Linked DNA regions of Cricetulus griseus. The main gene of each other region encodes a partner of the protein of the gene in region 2 in a complex. Links are inferred from orthologs where the notes say so. Each region holds a gene or a part of one and is shown on either strand. Other genes may lie near its edges. The genes, in order: Itgae, Itgb7 and Flna.

Region 1 (3,645 bases), on a different chromosome or scaffold from region 2:
CAGCCATGCCCTGAAAACATGCTCCCAGAGTGTCAGATAAGGGGTGGAAGAGCAGCCAGGCCTCCAGCAGGTTCTCCAAGGTGCAAATCATGGAGAGAGGCCGTGCCTCTGGGGGCCCTGCAATGCTCAGGTGGGAACAGCAGGCAAAGATGGGGCAGCCGCTGCCTTTCTGATTGTTTCCCAAACCCCCTTCCTCTCAACATGGCTATGATCTCAGCTTACTTGCTTCCTGGGGCATACACATTTAACCAAACAGCAGCCAGACTTCAGGAAAGGGACCCGGACTGTACCTACAAGCCAATCAGGAATGACCACAACACCAGGGCACCCCACCAGGCAGCCATTACCTGGATTAGAGGCTGTAGTTGAGGAGGCAACTTCGAAACACAGTTCTACATCCACGTTGTCCTTGAAGAACATGGGCAGTGCAGCGGGGATAAATGTCATAGACACGGCCAGGTCAACTACAGGTTGTGAGCTAAAAAAAGCAAAGAGGCCCATTAGGAATGAGCACAGATTTTGCTGCATTCAACATCTCCAACATGCAAGGGTACACTGAATCCTCAGGGTACATTAACAGTAGAGAAAGAGATAAGATTTGCTTTTGTGGGGAAGCAGAGAACCAGCAGTAAAGGGGCTAGAGACATACAGGGACTGGCGATGCTGTAACAGGATAATAAGGTGACTGGCATGGAAGCTACTTAGATCAGGTGGTCAGACTATACTCCCTGATAAGGAGGCCTTGAAAGTAAAAGCCACTAACAAGAAAAAGCCAGCTATATGAAGGTCTGAGGAAGGATTCCAGGCAGAAAACACAGCTGGTGCAAAAGGACCTGTGCCAGGATGAGGTTGGCTTGTTTGGAAAACATAAAGGACAGACAGACTGGAACATAATGAGTGAAACAGAGTGTCAAAAGTGACAAAGGCTGAAGATTGGAGGGTGGGCAGGGCCAATCACAGACAGCTTGTAGGTGGTGGCAAGGAACCGGGTTTTACTCTGGCAGGGGTCACTGAGGGGTTTTGAGTAGTAGCACAGAGGGATCAGGTCAAAAGAGCACAGGAAAGTCTACATGATGGGCCTGGAGAGAGATGACAGTCCCCGGTGCTGGGAGGTGTTTTGGAGTTGAAGTCAATAAGTATGTTATAGACAGGGTGATGGATGAAGGAGGAAGAGGAAGCCTACAGAGAGCTTTTGTCCTCCATATCCCAGAGGGTCTTGAGCTGGTGACTTGCCTGCCCCAGCCTCCCAAGTAGCTGGGATTACAGGCCCATGCCAACAGGCCCAGTTCTAGAATGTAACCCTCATTCTCTAGGTGGGCGATATAGGACCATTTGCTGAAACAGGAGCCTGGGGGAGGGGTAGACTGGGGATGGAAGGTGGGAAGAACAGGTGCTCCACTTGGAGGCCTGTTCACTTGGACAACAGGTGTGGGACTCTCTGGAGAGAACTGGGTGACAGGGGCTCTGACCACAGGACTGAAAATTGCCTGAAGCTAGAACCCAGCGGTGCTGGAATTCACAGCATGCTGCCCCCTACCACCCAGCACTATGTATTTTCATATTTTCTCACACGTTTTCCTCCCACCCCTGTGAGGCACTCGCCGTCATTATTCCCAATTACAGATAAGAAGTTGCTCACCCAAAGTCACACTGTTGAGAGCTGAGGAGCAAACTTACCCAGGCAGACCCCAGAAGGTGTGTCCCGCCCCCACACTTCCTCCCTCCCTTGGTGCTTGGAATCTGCAGGACCCACTGGGTGTAGAACAAGGAGTAGGGCTGGGGCTTCGGTCAAAAGAAGTCTGGGGAGACGCCTACCGGAGCACAGCTGCCCGGTCCCGAGAGCCCACCGTGATGTCAGCAAGGCCATCGCCATTGGAATCTAAGCCACCAGCCACAGACAAGCCAAAGTAGTGGAGTCCCAAGGCCACCGAGGAGGCTCTGATCCGCTGCAGAAGGAGAAAGAGTAACTTTGCTTTCTATCTCCTTCAGCGGCACGACCCACCTCCCACCCTGGCCATGAATGGTCTCTGAGAAAGTGGTATCTTTGCTTTCCTGGCCTGTCTCCGTTGCCACTGCCAACCATCAAACCACTTCAGGGCCCTCTCTCTGCCTGTCCTTTGTCTTTGGGGAAGGGGTACCCGAAGGACAGGTGGGACTTAAGGGGGAGGCCAAGGGGAAGAGCAGAGTGCTCTGAGAACAGTGAAGGCTCAGGTGCAGGGGTCAGGTGGGGTAGAAGGAGGTTAGGGGGTATGAGTGTAAGGTTTGATGTGGGCTGGGGTGGGGGCAGCAGGAAAGGCTCTCTGGAAGACTGACCTCATCAGGGCCAGAGTTTAGAAGCTGGGAGCTGGAGCCCCGGGGAGGGATGGATGGAAGGCCTAAGCTGATGCCATGGGTTGGGGGAGGGGGTAGCAAAGCTAGAAGCGTTATGATGTGGTGGCTGACAGGCTATGCATTGGGTATCAAAGGGCTGGGGGCTATCCTGGGCATCTGGTGAGGAGGAGAGAGAGATGGGCACAGAGGAGCATCCATTTCTGGAAGAAGGTGCTGTGGACTGAGAGTAAGAGTAAGAGTGAGAGGCCTAGGGACCAGCTTGGGGGGGGGGGTGCTTAGGAAGCACCTGAAGCTAGGGAAAGGGGAGGAGCCAGAGCGTGGAGGAGCTGGATGGAGACAAGAACCAAAGACAAAAGAGGCAGAGAGAGGGACCTGAAGTGGGTTGATGGTTGGCAGTGGCAAAGGAGGAGACACAGGCCAGGAAAGCAAACCATGCCTCACTCTCTCCTTTCCTTTTTTTGTTTTTTGTTTTTTGTTTTTTTTTCGAGACAGGGTTTCTCTGTGGCTTTGGAGGCTGTCCTGGAACTAGCTCTTGTAGACCAGGCTGATCTCGAACTCACAGAGATCCACCTGCCTCTGCCTTCCAAGTGCTGGGATTAAAGGTGTGCGTCACCAACGCCCGGCCTCCTTTCCTGAAGGATTTGGAGGAGGCCTGCTCTGGAACCCTCCTACCCTACCCCTGGTGACTTCCTGCCCTCACTGGCATTCTCTACCACCTGACTCAGGGCTCTGCTCATTCTATCTGTAGGAGGTTTGAACCCCAAAGAAGAAGAAGAAGGAAAGAGCCTGTAGAGTCACCTGGGAAGGACTGGCACGGAGGCCATCTGAATGTCCATTGTAGATGTACACACTGCCATAGCTGGTCCCATCGCCTGCCTCAAAGCCCTCCAGAGGGGCCCCAATGGCCACATCTGTGAATTTATCTTGATTGATATCCCCCACTGCTGCCATGGCAAAGCCAAATCGACTGTTGGTGAGCCCAGGATGCCCACTCAGTGTGCGTGCCAAGGAGAAGGAAGCATCCTGCAAAGTGAACCAACAGCTCAGTTCCCAAGAAAGGTGTGCAGGGCAACCATCCCAGGACCACCGGGAGGGCATTCTCCCTCACTGGTTCCCACTCTCTAGCAGGAGTCCAAGGCTGAGAGAAGACAAGGGATCTGAGCCTACAGTAAAGCCGGTACCTTCCTGTCTTGAAGTTCAAGACCTGGAGCCTGTCCCTCTACTCCCACACATTGCTATATTAGCGATAGAGAGACCTAGCGGCCAGTTGCAGCTCTCCCACACCCAGCACCACTAGATCACTGAATCTTAGAC
Region 2 (3,189 bases):
GCTTTGTCTGGTCCTCCTGTCTTCAGGTAGATTTCTGGGTTACTCTTCAAGTCACTCACTGCCTCCCAGAGCCCCATCTCCTAAGGTTCTGGGCCCTTGGCTTCTCAGAGGAGTTAACTGTGGAGTTACACACACTGTGTGACTGTAACTGTAGTGACACCCAGCCCCACGCTCCCTACTGCAGCAATGGCCAGGGACACCTTCTATGCGGGATATGCAGGTGAGGCTGGCTTTATTCGTTCCTTTAGCTCCCATGACCTTCTCCTTGTATTCCCCGTCCTTTGTTTCTGCTTTCTGGAGTGTCCCAGACATCTTATGACTCCACCTGAATATCATGTCCCGAAGAAGCTTCCCATATATGCCAGGGTCTTCATCTTGACCAGAATCCCTCCAGTCTTTCCTCCCTCTATCGTTGGTACTCTACTATGTCCTAGTATTGTTCCATCTGTTTCCATCTCCCTTGAGGACATGGGCCTAGAGCAGTGGTTCTCAACCTTCCTAATGCTATGACCCTTTAATAGTTCCTTATGTTTTGGTGACCCCCAACCATAAATTATTTTTGTTGCTATTTCACACCTGTAATTTTGCTACTGTTATGAATTGTAAACATCTGTGTTTTCTCATGGTCTAAAGCAACCCCTGTGAAAGGGTCATTTGACCCTCAAAGCTCACGACTCACAGGTTGAGAATCACTGCCCTAGAGGCTCTTGAGAGACAGACCAGACATGGTCAAACTGATCCATCTCTCTCTGCTTTCCCCTCCCAGCTGTGTCCCGGGCCGCCTTGGTCAGCTATGTGAGTGCTCTGAGGCTGAACTGTCCTCCCCAGATTTGGAATCTGGCTGCCGGGCCCCCAATGGGACAGGGCCCCTGTGCAGCGGGAAGGGACGATGCCAATGTGGACGTTGCAGCTGCAGCGGACAGAGCTCTGGGCGTCTGTGCGAGTGTGATGATGCCAGCTGTGAACGGCATGAGGGCATCCTCTGTGGAGGTACCTAGAGTCTTTGGGAGAAGGGAGGGAAAGAGGGCCTCCTAGCGCACTTAGACGCTGAGGGCAAATTTCAAAGATTGTGGTTATGAGCTAGAGGACATGCCCAGCACAATTGAGAAGGACGATAGTGACATGCTGGGCCAACTGTGTGTGAAAATGGTGATCACCCTATGCATGGTTCTTCCTCAGGCTTTGGACACTGCCAATGTGGAGTATGTCACTGTCACGCCAACCGCACGGGCAGAGCATGTGAATGCAGTGAGAATGTGGATAGCTGTGTCAGTCCCAACGGAGGGCTCTGCAGTGGGCATGGACACTGCAAATGCAACCGTTGCCAGTGCCAGGATGGCTACTATGGGGCTCTGTGTGACCAGTGCCTTGGTTGCAAGTCACCATGTGAGCAATACAGGTGAGGCCTCTGGTCTTTCATCTTGGGAGTTGGGGCACAGTGAGCTTGCTAAGAACTCCTACCTGCCTGCTCTCCTTGAGGGTGTGTAGGGGAGGGCTACTAGATAGCTGCTGCCCAGATGGGAACTCATTGACATTCACTGAACAGGGACTGTGCAGAGTGTGGGGCCTTTGGCACTGGTCCCCTGGCAGTCAATTGCAGCGTGGCCTGTGCCGATGTGAATGTGACTGTGGCCATGGTCCCTAATTTGGACGATGGCTGGTGCAAAGAGAGGACACAAGACAACCAGCTGTTCTTCTTCCTGGTGGAGCATGTGGCTGAAGGAGTCATACTGAGAGTGAGACCCCAAGAGAGTAAGTGCACAGAGCCTCAGAACTAGGGATGTGAATGGGTTTGAAGTAGAGCTGCAAACCTAGGGCAAAGGCAGAGGGGATGAGACTAAGGTCCAAGGAAGACAACCTTGGGCTCTGCTGGGTTGTTTTTAGTGACAGGGCTGGGGAGGCTGGACACCCTTCGGGTAACTGTGGATCAGCTCTTATACCTTGGCCCACCAGAGGGAGCAGCAGATCACACCCGTACCATCATACTGGGCTGCATAGGTGGCATTGTGGCTGTGGGACTAGGGCTAGTCCTGGCTTATCGGCTTTCTGTGGAAATCTATGATCGCCGTGAGTACAGCCGCTTTGAGAAGGAGAGGCAGCAACTCAACTGGAAGCAGGTAAGGCCAGCTCCTATTGCCACAGGCTGGGCTTTCCTTACTTGACTTCCCTGGGGTCCTCTTCCTCTTTTTCTACTTCCCTAAGCTGTAACCAGCTCCAAAGCACCCTTACCCAAGTCCCTCCCGCTTATGCTGGGTTGGCCTCACAGGATTAGGCAATGGGAGAGCCTGCTATTTTCCTTACACAATGTTCACAATGTTTTCCCACAGGACAGCAATCCTCTCTACAAAAGTGCCATCACAACCACTATCAACCCCCGCTTCCAAGAGACAAACGGTCCTGGTCCCTCTCTCTGACTGAGGCAACACTCACTTAGGATTCTTGTCTTGGAGGACAGTGGGGGACAGCAGGGCAGGGCCTGTCAGAGGGCTGCTTCCCACGGCTGCAACCATTCCCCACCTCATGAAGGGTTCTCCCACAATAAAGGCTTGCCTCAGACCACAGCCTTCACTTTGCTTCACCCCAAGACAGAAAAAGCAGACTGCCTAGCTCAGGTCTCAGGACGACAGGTGTGTTTCTGTTGTGTGACCTGGGAATACCTGGGCCAGTGGATATCAGGTGATGCTATCTACCACCTTCTAAGAGACCCTACCTACCCATCTTGTCAGGCTGCTGAGAACCTTTCTCAGCAAAAATGATACCTTTTTGTCTCTACTTGTTGTGTCTCTTTGGAGAGAAGATGTTTTAACAGGGTAGCTTGCTCTGTTACAAGTTGTAGGGTGGTTAACATAGAAAAGGAGCCTATTAAAACCACTCTGGCCTTTGGTGATAAAGTGCCCCCAACAAATCAAGTCTTCTCAAAGAGGAGATGGAATGTAGAAAAGCGCCATTCTTTTTATTTAAATATCCTAAATATATCACGAAGGAACATACACTGCACTTTAATGGTAAAAAGATACAAGTTTATAACATCTTATAAAACTACCATTTAAAAGTGATCTTGTTCATTTGATAGTCCCCTCCCCCATAGCAAAATAAGTATATTTAAAAAAAAAAAAAAAGGTGGAGCATGGTAGGAGGGAATTGAAGATAAAAGCCCAGGGCCACAGTAGAGACGGAAGGAACTGGGAG
Region 3 (4,438 bases), on a different chromosome or scaffold from region 2:
ACCAAGTTCTGCTTCAGGGAGGGTCATTGAGCCCCAAAGAGCACGAGGAGGTCCGGCAACATCTGCTAACAGTACAAGAAACGGACGCTAGAGCTGGGAAAGGCTGAGCAATTCTGGCACACACCAATTCTGGCACAGGATTGCTCAATTCCAGCTGGCACGCCCTTACAAGGGACTCTCTTTCCTCAAGGTCCCTGCAGGGGATGGAGCGAATAAGGTCCCTGAATCACTTGAACTCTGCCCCAATCCTGCACCCTCCTCCTCTATCTTCATTTCCCTCATCTTCCAGAGCTGAGGGTCCTCAGGGGCAGTCTGTTCCACAGCAATGCAAAGAGTCCAATCCTGAGAGCGAATCCTTTCAGACAGCCTGGTACTGCTGGGAACTCTTTGTGCACACTAGTGCCAAGAAACAGCTGCGACTCAGGGCTCTCATCACCTAAGTAGCCACCCGCAGACCCCTGGCCCGCCCCACCCATCTTCGCTGGTCTTCTCAGTCTCTGTGGCCCTGCCTGCCCCCTAGCTCCATCTGGGAGGAAATGGGGCAAGCAACTGGGCCAGGGAGGCTGCCAGCACTCCAGGACCAAGAAGCCTTCCAAAGGCCCCGAGACATGCCAGTGGTCATAATCAGAAGACACCCGCCTTGTGATGCGTGTAGACGGGTACACTTTGTGCCTGTCTAACTCACATTTCCATCCACCTGGGGCCCTGAAGAGTTCTGCAGTAGAGTTCTCGTCTGGCACAGTATCCCCAAGGTTTGGTGTGACCCTAGAGGTGTGGAGAGGCTCAGGGATAGGGTCCCAGATTACTGAAAAACAATCAGCAGGCACCAAGGCTTGCTGAGGAGCCTAGGTTGTGTTCCCTGAGTGGGTATGAAGCTATTCACTTAAAGTTCATTTTATGATAGATAATTCTGGGGATAATGATGAGGATGCTGTACTGAGGCAGAGGTGAGCAAAGGCACAGAGGCAAGAAACTGTAGGAGACACTCACTACCACCCTCCAGTTAAGGGAATTCGCTTACCTTTCCCATGATAGACTCCTTCCATCTACATTCTCTGTACTTCAAGCCTCTCCAGAATGTTCCCTTCTGTGTTTTTCCAGAAAGGCAGGCCTTTATCACTACTTCTCAAATTGTAGCAATGATTTATCTTCTGAAAGACTGGTGGTTGAAGGAGGCCTTGGGCTGGCCAACATGGCATGCCCAAATATGGTTGGCTCTCCTATTGCTTGGGGTGTCTGCATTGCCTGTGGTGGGGCTATGGTAAGGTTATATTCACAATGGGCACCACCTCTGCCTCAGCATGTTCATCTTGGTACTCTCTATAATCTCACCCGTCAAATAACATTTTCAGTATGGAACTCCCCTATCCTACCTCCAGTCACCTGCATATCCTCTCTTTTGTTTTCATATATACCTGCATCAAGTAAGCCAAGGGGAGAGTTGAGGGACAGGATGGCAGAACTGAGAGGGGGTAACCCAAATGGAAAATTTAAGGGCTGTCATTCAAGACATAATTAGAGTTATCTTTCTGATTACCCTGACCTACTGGAGAGTAAATCCCCATGTATGGAATTGAATCAATAATGGATTTTCCACTGTGTGCCATTTGTCTGGATCACCTGAGTTCACTAATTGGCAGGAAACAAGGAAGACGGAATCATAGTAATGGATCACACAGAAGTTGGGAGTCCCAGCTTCCAGCCCTATGATTTGGCTATTTCGGGGGTAGGGGTGGGGGAGGGGGGAGAGTTCTTGGCCTTAGAGTGGACACAGTGCCACCACCAGATGTCGCTCCATCTCAAAGATCCAGGGGCAGCTCCAGGAAGCCAAAATCCAGCTCTTTCATATTTTCCCTTATTTGGAGTAGATTCTTCGATGTTAGGCACACCCCGCCCACCTCTCCCACCCCCACCATCAGACCCTAGGCCAGGCCCTCCCATAGGGAACTATAGACCCAAGCCCACCAGCTATACTAGGACCCTGAAGAGCTTTTCTAGACTTGTGTAGCCAGGGGGCGCCAGGAGGGAAGGAAGCAGAAAATCCCTGAAGTAAAACCAGTGCCTGTAAGGCAAATTCAGGTGTGACAAGATAGAGAATTGATTTCCTGAACTTTCCACCTTGGCCAGACTCCTTGGAGCTGCAAGAGACTGTGTGTGGGTTTCACCCACTTTTTCTTTCCTGGGATCTGGGAACCTTGGTGCTTATGTTCTGGCTGGCAATGACCGTCATACTCAGAACCAACCTGAGACAGGACCCAAGATCCAGGCTGGAAATCTGTCTCGCTATACCCCTACCACAGCCCCGAAATCAGCTCCCTATGTCCAAACTAGCAGGGGACTCATCATCTCATATGTATTCATATGAGGGTGGACTCATATCCACCCTTGCCATTGGCTGAAAAGTGTCCTTCTAAGTTGCCACTCACCCTTATCCCAATCAAGATACTAGTCTCAAAAGACCTCCCTCCCACCCCCAGAGAGTCACACAAAGACCAATTAATGGGTACCCACGCCTGTACCCATCTCCTGCCAAACACTCAGATACCAGCCCCTCTTTCAGGGACCCCCCCCCCATGACCTCGAGCTCACAGATTCCTGAGCACAAACATAAGTTTGTGGTAAACTATGCAAGTCTGGACACTAACACGATGCCTCGGACCTGAGTCCACACCCAAACTGCCTGGCCTCGGCCTCTCTGCTTGCTTTCCAAACCTTTCCCAGCTCCCGAGCGTCGCACCCACTATCTGACTACTATCCGGTGTGGAGCTAATTACAGAGCCCTCACCTGCTGTCCCTCCAACCGCGGGGTGGCGCCCAGCTCTCTGCGCTCGAGCCAGAGGCCTCAGAACTCCCCTGGCGTCCGCTGCGCGCCGCGCGCCTCCACGCGAATGAGCCGCTGCTGCCCGCCTTCTTGTTGGCTGCATCCCCGCCCCACGTCCGCCCCGCGCGGGGCCCGGCAGAGCCCGTCCCGGCAAGAAAGCCTTAATTGGTAAAATCGCCCTGGAGCCGGGGGCGGGGAGGGGATGCGGGGGCGCGCCACGAGCTCAAGTGCCCTGGCTGACAGGCGACGCCATCCCTCAGAATGAGCTCACTGCTCCGTGAGGGCCGCCAGGCTTCCGGGGGGGGGGGGGGTCTGCAAAACCTGTGTTTAGGCCCAACCTTTAATAGGCTAGATGAGTACAAGGGAGCCAAATGCTTACTGGCTGGAAAGAAGGCCCCGCTCCAAAGCCACCTATACAGGGGAATTGCCCACAGTCACAGCCTTCTGCCTCTGCCCAAGCCTGGTTTGGCCACACCGGTCAGGTCTTGTTCCATGGGAAGAGATGAAACAGGTAATTGCAGTGAGCACCAACCGTTCGTTCCTAAGGCCCCAATGGGTCCCTGAGCACTGTAATGAACAAGCCCTTGTAGCTAGCTATCATTGATTTGGTTCCTGCTAGGTGCAGCTGTTGGCTGTGAGCAAACAACAAAAATACATTGAATTCTCAAAGCAATCAGGTGAAGTCTTAAAGCCTGGGGGTGTGCAGTGTGGTACAAAGTGCCAAATATCTGTGAAGTTGGTAGGCACAGCCATTACCTAATATTGTCAAGCTCTCTCTTCCTGTTCTATGTGCCCATTTCCTGGTAGTTTCAGATTCAACTCAAATGTCATTTCCTACAGAAAGGACACATAAAGCAATGCCATTTTTAACATTTTGTTATTCATTTTACCTGCAACCCCAATATGAGCTACATTTGCATTATGCCAGTGTGCACATAACATGAAATTGAAATAGATAATTGCAAATTAGATTTTCCTTTTCTGATGTGTGTGTGTGTGTGTGTGTGTGTGTGTGTGTGTGTGTGTGTGTAGACTAGGACTCACTCTGCAGCTCAGGCTGATCTGGAAATCACTATGTAGCACCCAGACTGGGCTTTGAAGTGGCAATCCCCCTCCCAATTTCTGTTTCATAAATGTTGGAATAACAGGCCTATTTAATTTGTTTTCCTACTCAATATTATCAAAAAGAGAAGGTGGCACATGCTATATAGTAAGATAAAAGGGAGAAAAGAAAGAATATGAAAGAGCAGTGAGGGGGAGTTTGATCACATCTCCAGAGTCAATTTAGTAATCTATAGTGTAACTTGAAGAGCAAAGTGCTGGGGTCCCCTCCAGGCACTATGCATCCAGTGCTACCTTTGTTGGCTCCACTGGCAATGACATTTCACATTCTGGCCTCCCAATAAGATCAAGATCCCTCACTGTTCTGTCTAGCAGGAGACCTCTGCTAGGGAAGCCAATGAATTATCATAAATTGCTAAATTAGTGGCTTGATTTCAAGTTTGTGAGGTGGCACTAGAGTACATGGAGATGATTGTCTTTCCGGAGGATAAACCCATTTACCCACAGGCATGGTAATCAGATCAACCGGTAGGCAGATGGAAGGGGCATGGGGGA

Evidence for each region.
Region 1: the proteins of Itgb7 (region 2) and Itgae are in contact, whole or in part, in a cryo-EM structure (PDB 8ZJF), measured with the Homo sapiens proteins. The link is inferred for Cricetulus griseus from reciprocal best matches to the Homo sapiens genes ITGB7 and ITGAE. Residues at the interface, in NP_000880.1 of Homo sapiens: Val201, Leu202, Pro203, Ser206, Thr207, Val208, Pro209, Ser210, Lys211, Arg213, His214, Cys216, Pro217, Arg219, Leu220, Glu221, Arg222, Leu255, Asp256, Ser257, Pro258, Thr291, Phe292, His293, Thr294, Ala295, Gly296, Asp297, Lys299, Leu300; in NP_002199.3 of Homo sapiens: Phe36, Leu38, Arg91, His92, Arg93, Gly94, Leu111, Arg113, Leu118, Ser119, Ser120, Leu122, Glu196, Glu198, Arg230, Tyr233, Glu234, Phe237, Glu238, Cys239, Asn240, Ser259, Gln260, Val262, Met263, Leu266, Arg300, Leu401, Gln403, Phe406.
Region 3: the proteins of Itgb7 (region 2) and Flna are in contact, whole or in part, in a crystal structure (PDB 2BRQ), measured with the Homo sapiens proteins. The link is inferred for Cricetulus griseus from reciprocal best matches to the Homo sapiens genes ITGB7 and FLNA. Residues at the interface, in NP_000880.1 of Homo sapiens: Pro776, Leu777, Tyr778, Lys779, Ser780, Ala781, Ile782, Thr783, Thr784, Thr785, Ile786, Asn787, Pro788; in NP_001104026.1 of Homo sapiens: Thr2263, Gly2267, Ala2268, Gly2269, Gly2270, Leu2271, Ala2272, Ile2273, Ala2274, Val2275, Glu2276, Gly2277, Pro2278, Ser2279, Lys2280, Ala2281, Ile2283, Phe2285, Phe2311.

What each region holds. Positions count from the first base shown.
Region 1 is NC_048600.1:86,887,074-86,890,718, reverse strand, and holds part of Itgae (integrin alpha-E), read right to left. Parts: intron 3,355-3,645; coding exon 3,130-3,354; intron 1,947-3,129; coding exon 1,816-1,946; intron 479-1,815; coding exon 348-478; intron 1-347. UniProt on the Homo sapiens protein: Integrin alpha-E/beta-7 is a receptor for E-cadherin. It mediates adhesion of intra-epithelial T-lymphocytes to epithelial cell monolayers.
Region 2 is NC_048595.1:398,600,336-398,603,524, reverse strand, and holds the end of Itgb7 (integrin beta-7), read left to right. Parts: intron 1-26; coding exon 27-220; intron 221-766; coding exon 767-990; intron 991-1,179; coding exon 1,180-1,399; intron 1,400-1,546; coding exon 1,547-1,752; intron 1,753-1,953; coding exon 1,954-2,117; intron 2,118-2,327; coding exon 2,328-2,414; 3' UTR 2,415-2,579; downstream 2,580-3,189. UniProt on the Homo sapiens protein: Integrin ITGA4/ITGB7 (alpha-4/beta-7) (Peyer patches-specific homing receptor LPAM-1) is an adhesion molecule that mediates lymphocyte migration and homing to gut-associated lymphoid tissue (GALT).
Region 3 is NC_048604.1:1,462,505-1,466,942, reverse strand, and holds the start of Flna (filamin-A), read right to left. Parts: upstream 2,916-4,438; 5' UTR 2,786-2,915; intron 1-2,785. UniProt on the Homo sapiens protein: Promotes orthogonal branching of actin filaments and links actin filaments to membrane glycoproteins. Anchors various transmembrane proteins to the actin cytoskeleton and serves as a scaffold for a wide range of cytoplasmic signaling proteins.